Bombyx mori: one gene and its partner. The protein of the gene in region 1 purifies or fractionates together with the protein of each later gene. This does not show direct contact. Links are inferred from orthologs where the notes say so. Each region holds a gene or a part of one and is shown on either strand. Other genes may lie near its edges.

Region 1 (4,159 bases):
CACATAATGGTGTAGTGAATTTCCAAATACTTTTTGAGCATCATCATCATATGCTTCAACTTCAATTTTGCGAGGTAGTCTTAAAACTGGAGGTTTATAAGCGTCTGATGCAAAATATGAAGATTTAATTAGTTCCAATTGACTTCTTTTATTAAAAATTTTTTCATAGATTGTTTCCCTCCAAGTTGTTCCAACAAGTGTATGTGATATTTGATCTAATTTTTGATTCTTATCTTGAATATTTGACAAAAGATAATGACCTGCTTGAGAGCACCTGTATGTTCCTTCAGAAAACCACCGTCTAACTGCATTTGACTGTTTTTCTGGGGCATGTTTAACCCAGTTTACTTTTGGATCAAGTGGTAATGTTTGCCATGCTATTAACATCAATGGTGCAGCATATTTTACAGCATCTCTCCAATTCAACTGGTCTTTCTTTGCCCTCTTCAGTAACAGTGTAGCAGCATGTAAGCTAAATTGTCCTTTATGATGTTGAAGCAAACTTGCATGAAAATCTCCATGGCCAGGACTAGGACCTGTTTTTGCAACTATTTCAATTGACTGATCATAGGCTTGTAGAAACTCTTGTGACTCTACTAAGCTTTTTGATGTACCACTTGGTGTTTCAGTTAAACTTAAGACACACAAACGTTCTCTAACAGTTAAAAGCAATAACTGGTACAGCCATTCATTATGGTTAATTCCACTATTTACCACAAGATTGGCTAAAATTTCATACCAAGCATAATTACTCATGAAAAAATTTTCACCAAACTCAATATTGCAACTGTGTTCAAAAGCTTCTTTTAATTTATTTGTGCTAATATAATGTTTTATTAAACGTGCATGAAGTTGTGCATCTTTTGGTCTTATTGCCAATTCTGTGGTTATTAATTTGACTAGTGCTTCAGGATTTGGATTTTGCAAGGATAGAAGTCTTTCACGGAGTCGAAAAGTAACAGGGTGTCTAGGGAATATTGCTTCTGCTTTTTCACACCAGTATTTTGCACGTCCAGGTTCTATTTCCACATCATAATCAGCTAGAAGTTCACAAACTGAAACAAGTATTTTTATATTTCATTTAAATGGTGTTAAAACATCAATTATGATCTTCCTGACCATTATTTATAATTTAGACAAGTCAATCAATTATAACAGAGGGAATACAGATGATTATACAGATGGAAAAGCTATGCTGACTGCCACTATTTTTTTGGTGGATTAATTAATTTATCTTAGTTTTTTTTTTATTGCATTAAAGTGGCTGGTTATACTAGACCTTCAGCCACTTGTAGTTTATTGTTTTGTATAATATTCAAAACAGATCTGACGTGAAGCAGTGCACGTAAGGTAAACAATGGCAAGGTTTTATTACTTGTAATGGTCAGGTCAATTCACACTGAATGAAAATAATCACAACACACATATTTTATACATCAGGTGATATGAAATAGGCATCATACAATCTGAAACCTATATGTGGACCTATGTATTACTTATGACGACGCTTGTAACTGAAAGTAAGTATTGTACTTTTTGACGAAGCATGTTGCTGATAACTCTATTTCTGTAATCTGACGAAGCGTGTTGCGGATAATAAAATGTACTTTTAGGTTAGGAATATTATTCTTTTTTTTATAATAAATTAGAAAAGTTGATCTGAAACTGTATTTAGTCATGTGTGAGTACTTGCCTAATCATGATCAATCAATCAAGCCTAATAAAGAATGAACAAGCTCATGACCCACTTGGTGTTAAGTGGTTACTAGAGCTTCTAGACATGAGAGGCCAGATCTTAAGACTTGTGGTCTATATCTCATTTGTATAGCAAAACCTAATTTTAGTTGATTTTATAAGTTAGTGTGTTCCTGCATTGTGGAAGTCATTCAAGAATTTTATCTTTTCGGGTATAACAACTTCAAACTATACAATAGCTACAAATGAATACATACCTATTAACAACATACAAAATATTATATTATGTAGTTTATTATATACATGATAATAATAGAGTATTCTTTATTGCAAAACAATATAAAATCAAAAGAAAAACAAAAAATCAAACAATGTATTGTACTTATGCTTATGCAGTCTTATTACTAAATATGACCTCTTCCAAGCTGACAAGAATCATCTAAGGAAATAAATTAATCATAGTACTACCACCAACACACTTACTGATAGAAAAAAAGAATATAACTAAGAATATAATTTTCACATAAATATAAATAAATATATATAAGAATACTGCACATAAAAATGGCTTAATAGAAGATTTTGGTTTTAATATTAACAAACCTAGTAAAGTAGCTATATGATAAATTGTAAATTAAATATTATTTTAGTAAGACTTACTGTCTAGAATAGTGCTTGTCTGGGCTGGGTCAATGTCCAGGGAAGTTTTGTATTGTTCTAAAGCCTTTTCTTTTTGTCCTATCTTCTGCAAAGCTTGTCCGAGAAGTTTATAAGCCGCTGCATTGTTATCTTTTTGAGTAAGATATTGCTCAACATATTTTTGGCAATTCGCAAAATCGCCAACTTCAAAATACAACCGAGCGATGGAATAAGCACGACTTTTAAACTGAAAATAACCAAATATCGATGGTAAAAACTTTGTCAATAAGCGTAATACTTGATTTGAACACCAACTACCAACCTCTCTCGAAGATATTTTGTTCAGCAAATTTTCGACGTGCTTATCAACGTCTTTTTTATTTCTATACATTTTAACGATTTTTCCGTCTAACCGATAGTAGTCACTTATTTACAAAACTAGACCTTTTGAAAATAATATTACAACTTGAAGCGCATGAGGCTGCAAATGCCCGTAATCGAACGCGAAGCTATGGTTGGTTATATTGATTACCTTTATTCTCTTTGAAATGGTTGGCAAAATGAATAATAACGAATAGAAATTGGAATGCCGTCAAAAGTCAATATGTCGTCAGTTATAGAGCAAAAAATTGCTAGATCTAAAAATGAGCTCAAAATGTACCACAAATTTAAAAATGTTTGTTTCATAACTGTTCATTTTCTGGAATACTTTTCTGTGGCATGCATTACTGAACAATTTTATAAAGCAATGCTTAAAAATGTAAAAAAATATGGTTTCTATTTGTTGTCATAAAATTTACTTGGCTTAATAAAAAAATCATAAATTACGCAATCCTTAGCTCATGCACTCAACTTGATCCCATAGACATTATAATCTACACCCATCTTATGGCATGAGACCGTAGTTTTAATTTTGGGTGTGACATGTCCATAGTATTGGCATAAAATAGCTTCATCCAGTTTTTTCACACTCAAGACAAATAATAGAGCATGGGCAGCATAAGCAGCATTTCATGCCAATTGATTAAGTTTCCTTCGTTTTTTATTATTCGTAAACTGTAAATACCTACTTAAAACGGCGATTCCTAAAAATCTTATTACTTGACGCTGGCTAATGCACAAACGTGCCGGATCCAAAAACTAAGAAGAAGAATATGTTGTACCAAAAAAATCTATGGTAGAATGTCTACTTGTATCCAAATAGTAAATAAATTAGGGTACACAGGTACATACCTACCTACTTATCTACATTAATTAACTTTACCTTATCACAACAGGAAAATATCAGAAAAAAGCAGGAATAAAAAATTAAAGATTAACCCAAAGAATACAGTGATACAAGGGGTCTATCGTAATCGTAACCAATTTGGTGATAAATCATTGTTTAATGCTGTAGTCAACGTATCTTAAAGGTATTCATATGCTCCCTTTGATTGAATTGAGAACTTTAACAACTTTCATAAACCACAACCTTATTTTTTTATAGATTTAATTTCTATCATGGGCGACTCAGAATTGGCTTATGGATCTTCGTTAACGTTGGATTCCATGAAAGTGATAGCAGAGAGTGTTGGTATCGCCACTCTTGGCGATGACGCTGCTAAGGAACTCGCTGATGATGTTACATATCGCTTGAAAGTGATTGTTCAAGATGCCATGAAGTTCATGCATCACTCAAAGAGACAAAAACTTTCCATTACAGATATAGATCATGCCCTGAAGATAAAAAACAATGAGGTATTTTAATATCTGCAGTTAAAGCAATATTTAAATATGGCTTTAAGTGTTCCATGGTCTCCTATGATAAATTAACAATATTTTTTTT
Region 2 (3,659 bases), on another chromosome or scaffold:
AGCCTCTAATACTTATTAATGAAAATTATGTTTCATCATCATCCATACATATTATAGTATACTACCTACCTACCTACCTACATATACCCAAAGTAGGTAGTCGACTATATTTAATTGAAATTATAAGTTTGAACATTATTATGGTTCTATTGTCAGACTTCTACTACATACTACTTCTATAATCACAGATTTCGCCAAGACTACACTATAGAAAAATAATATTAAAGACAAACAATATTAATCTCTTTCCAATTTGAACACAAGCTTTAACAATAAACCAAAGAGTATATATGAGTCGTCTATTATCAAAGGTGGCAATCTGTGCATTTGGACAATTTTTTTTTATTGATATGTCAATTCAGATTGATTTGAATATAATCGTCTCCTTCAAAGAATACGGTTCAAAACTTGCATTAAATAAAGGTTAATAGTTACCCTGTTATTTATCTAAGATGTCGTTCCGAAGAGTTTTGTGACTGCCAATGGAATACAAAGCCAATAATTCGTTTTTCTGATTTACCAATCATTGTCCAAAAGTCAGATTGCCGGCTTTGATAATAGACGACTCATATGTGTGTTTGTCAAACACATGGTAGTGTGCGTAATGTATTTTTTATTGCATGCATGCTCGCAACATTCATTAAAGCAATAATTATATTAGACTTGAATCAATCAGAATTTAATTAGGCACAGGTGTTTCAAACTTAATTTTCATATAATTCATTTGTTAATGGTCACTAACCTGTTCTTTAGTAGTATTCGTGATATATAACATATCGTTGATGATTGAGAAGCCGCCATTCGCATTTGAAACTATCACGAACGTCCGATGAAACGAACGCATCGGGTTATTGGGAGTGTTCGTTTCTTTGAACACACCGTTCATTGTAAGGACGATCATGGCCGGCTGTAGACAAAAAAAAAACAATTTACCTAGTCTTAGCTAGCTTAAGGTTGAGACTGAGCTATATTTTTTTTTTATTAGTTGGTATTCTAGGACACTAAAAATTTTATATACATACTTTATATTACTATCCTGTAAATATTAATTTCTGGAGTATTAGGTCATTTTCTGTGTTTCATACACCATTTTTTTGTGCATATTATATGTGTTTAATGTTTGTTTTTCTTAACACTTTTTTTTCAATTTATAAATATCCTTATCTAACATCTATAATACATTGTTTTTATTTAAAGTAATGGAATTTAAAGTTACAATACATGATATATTGAAATTAGGCAGTATTTCAATAAAACTACCTTACAAAATTTATTCAACATAATATAAGGAACTCAAAAACGAATTCTTCGGAGAGTTAGAAATAAGAATATAGAATATAGAATAATGGTACATTTCAAAAGATTGGGTATCACTTCAAAGCAGTACAGTAGCGGACAGTTACTGACACTAGACAGGTCATTCACACATCTGCCTACCAGACTAAATGTAGATAAACATGTATAAATAAAACAGTCAAAACTTACAGTAAAGACTAGTAAGTCGACAGCAAAACCCATTAAATCGTGTGTTGTTTTTGGCAGATCTGATAGAAAGGAGACTACTTGCAGCTTTCCGGTACGTAGGTAACGCCTTCTCGACTCCCTTTCTGTTATTCGGGTTAAATTACGGCTGTTCGATATGTAAGAGTTTAACCTGTAATTAAAAAATATTTTTCTCAAATACTTAAAAGCAGTTAAAAGAATTAGCAGTGTATATTTGTTTGTTGATGGAAAATCGTGCTCGACTCCGTTTTAATGTAGTTACGAGATGTGCCTGTGAAATCGTGACAAATATCGTAACTAATACAGTCTAAAGACATCCTCTGATAGAGTTAGCAGAGGATGTCAAGTTTGACTTCGACAATCGTCCCCAAAAAGTTAGTCTAACTTCACACATTTATTTAGATATTATTTATTGACTCACTAATTACCGATTTAAGTCTTGGGTGTTTTTATATATATACCAGTGGTCCCGCAGTGGTCCAAATTCCACTTTAATTAATTGAAATTATATGTTTGAACATTATTATGGTTCTATTGTCAAAGACTTCTTTAATCACAGATTTCGCTAAAAATACACTATAGACAAATAATATTAAAGATTGACAATAATAACCTATTCTCAATTTCACTACAGACTTTAAGCAATTACAAAAGTTTGATCTTAAACAAAGAATATTATTGTGTGTGTGTGTGTCAAATACATGGTAGTGTGTGCAATGTTTTGGAAAAGTGTGGGAAATTTCATACTCCTTCGTCCGCACAATTTTCCTAAAATTTTTTGCTGCACGTGTTCAAATATAAAAAGATGCGTAGCATCAAGTTCACGACCCACATGGTAGACGGTTACTAAAACCCATATACATAACATTGCAAATTTCAAACAGAATTAAAATCTATCAAATTTAAATAAATATTACACACCTAGTTGTCGTAGAATTCCTGCTGTCATTAGTTAAATAATTTGCAGCCATCGACATTGTAGCATTTTCATGGTACGCCTCTAGAAGTGGTTGCCGAGATTCCGAGTCGTATATCGCATAGTATTGAGTGAGAAACTCCCTGACAAGATCCTGACCCGCCGGGTCTACCAGGAACGATTGTTGCCGAGGGGGAAGTCCCATATCTTCAGCTACGTCGAATCCAATAGCCGGTGGAAGATCCGCGCCATCCTAATTTTTTTTTAATTTTATGTTTATTTACAATGTTGAATCAATAGGCGTGATGAGATTATATAAACTGCAACAAATAGTAAAGCATAAACATAAGTCGGAAAATAAAAAAAAGACTTACCAATCTTGTCAGCTTGGGAAACTTCTTCCGGACATCACTGGAGAGAACAAACATTATGGAAACATGTTTCAAATTTGAACTCTGAAACTCATAATCGTTAAGAAACACACAAAATGTTTTTCATTTATTGAGATTACATGATAGCAGATTTGTTAACAATAATTATTTAGATATTGAAATTTCTATTGTGAGACATCATAACATTAAGTGAAAAACTTGTTCAAAAATATCAAATGTATAATTAGGGAAAAATAATTGCTTAGTTTTTTTACTCTTTGATTTTTATTTAATGAAAATACATGTCACACAGATAAACTCTAAATAGTAGTAAACAGTTTTTGTAGCAAGTATTATTTAAACACTGTTTACATACTTTTACTTTTATAAAGTGTTGTAAACAAATGTGCTTCAATGTTGTGTTTGTGTGCATTATTTAATAAAAACTAAATAGATAATTATTTTTATTTGAATTATTGCTTAAAATTATATAATTCAAATTTAAACCTCAATATTGGAGGTAAAGAGGTAATATATACTATTTAAAAAATATATACATATTAATATAATAATATATTTCTGTCAAAAATGATTCTTTGGAACTATTTTTAGATGAATTATTTAAAAAAACCTTTCCATCTATTTGCGATGCTCAAGTTAGTAATGATGGATATCAGATGTTATTTATGCCTCTAATATTGAGAATTATTTTGACAAAAAGGTTATACGGAGTGATAGTACACAGGATGCAGGGTAACCTCAAATAAAATTAAAATAGTAAAGTAACAATAATGAGCAATAGAATACCCAATTTCCTTAGTGAAGCCCAAGTACTAATAATTTTAATATAATTTCATAACAGCAATGTA

The links. The genes of interacting proteins can lie anywhere in the genome.
Region 2: the proteins of E3 SUMO-protein ligase RanBP2 (region 1) and nuclear RNA export factor 1 purify together in Drosophila melanogaster (affinity purification with western blotting; 3 studies listed by BioGRID, with this or other methods). This does not show direct contact. The link is inferred for Bombyx mori from reciprocal best matches to the Drosophila melanogaster genes Nup358 and sbr.

The regions. Positions count from the first base shown.
Region 1 is NC_085121.1:11,012,730-11,016,888, reverse strand, and holds the start of E3 SUMO-protein ligase RanBP2, read right to left. Parts: upstream 2,960-4,159; 5' UTR 2,726-2,959; coding exon 2,657-2,725; intron 2,582-2,656; coding exon 2,356-2,581; intron 1,056-2,355; coding exon 1-1,055. Other genes in the region: transcription initiation factor TFIID subunit 6, read left to right, coding at 3,835-4,071. UniProt on the Drosophila melanogaster protein: E3 SUMO-protein ligase. Component of the nuclear pore complex (NPC), a complex required for trafficking across the nuclear envelope.
Region 2 is NC_085124.1:4,534,079-4,537,737, reverse strand, and holds part of nuclear RNA export factor 1, read right to left. Parts: intron 2,831-3,659; coding exon 2,794-2,830; intron 2,673-2,793; coding exon 2,425-2,672; intron 1,655-2,424; coding exon 1,486-1,654; intron 908-1,485; coding exon 743-907; intron 1-742. UniProt on the Drosophila melanogaster protein: Mediates the export of the majority of mRNAs from the nucleus to the cytoplasm. In ovarian follicle cells, plays a role in transposable element silencing regulation by enabling the nuclear export of flamenco (flam) transcripts and subsequent piRNA biogenesis.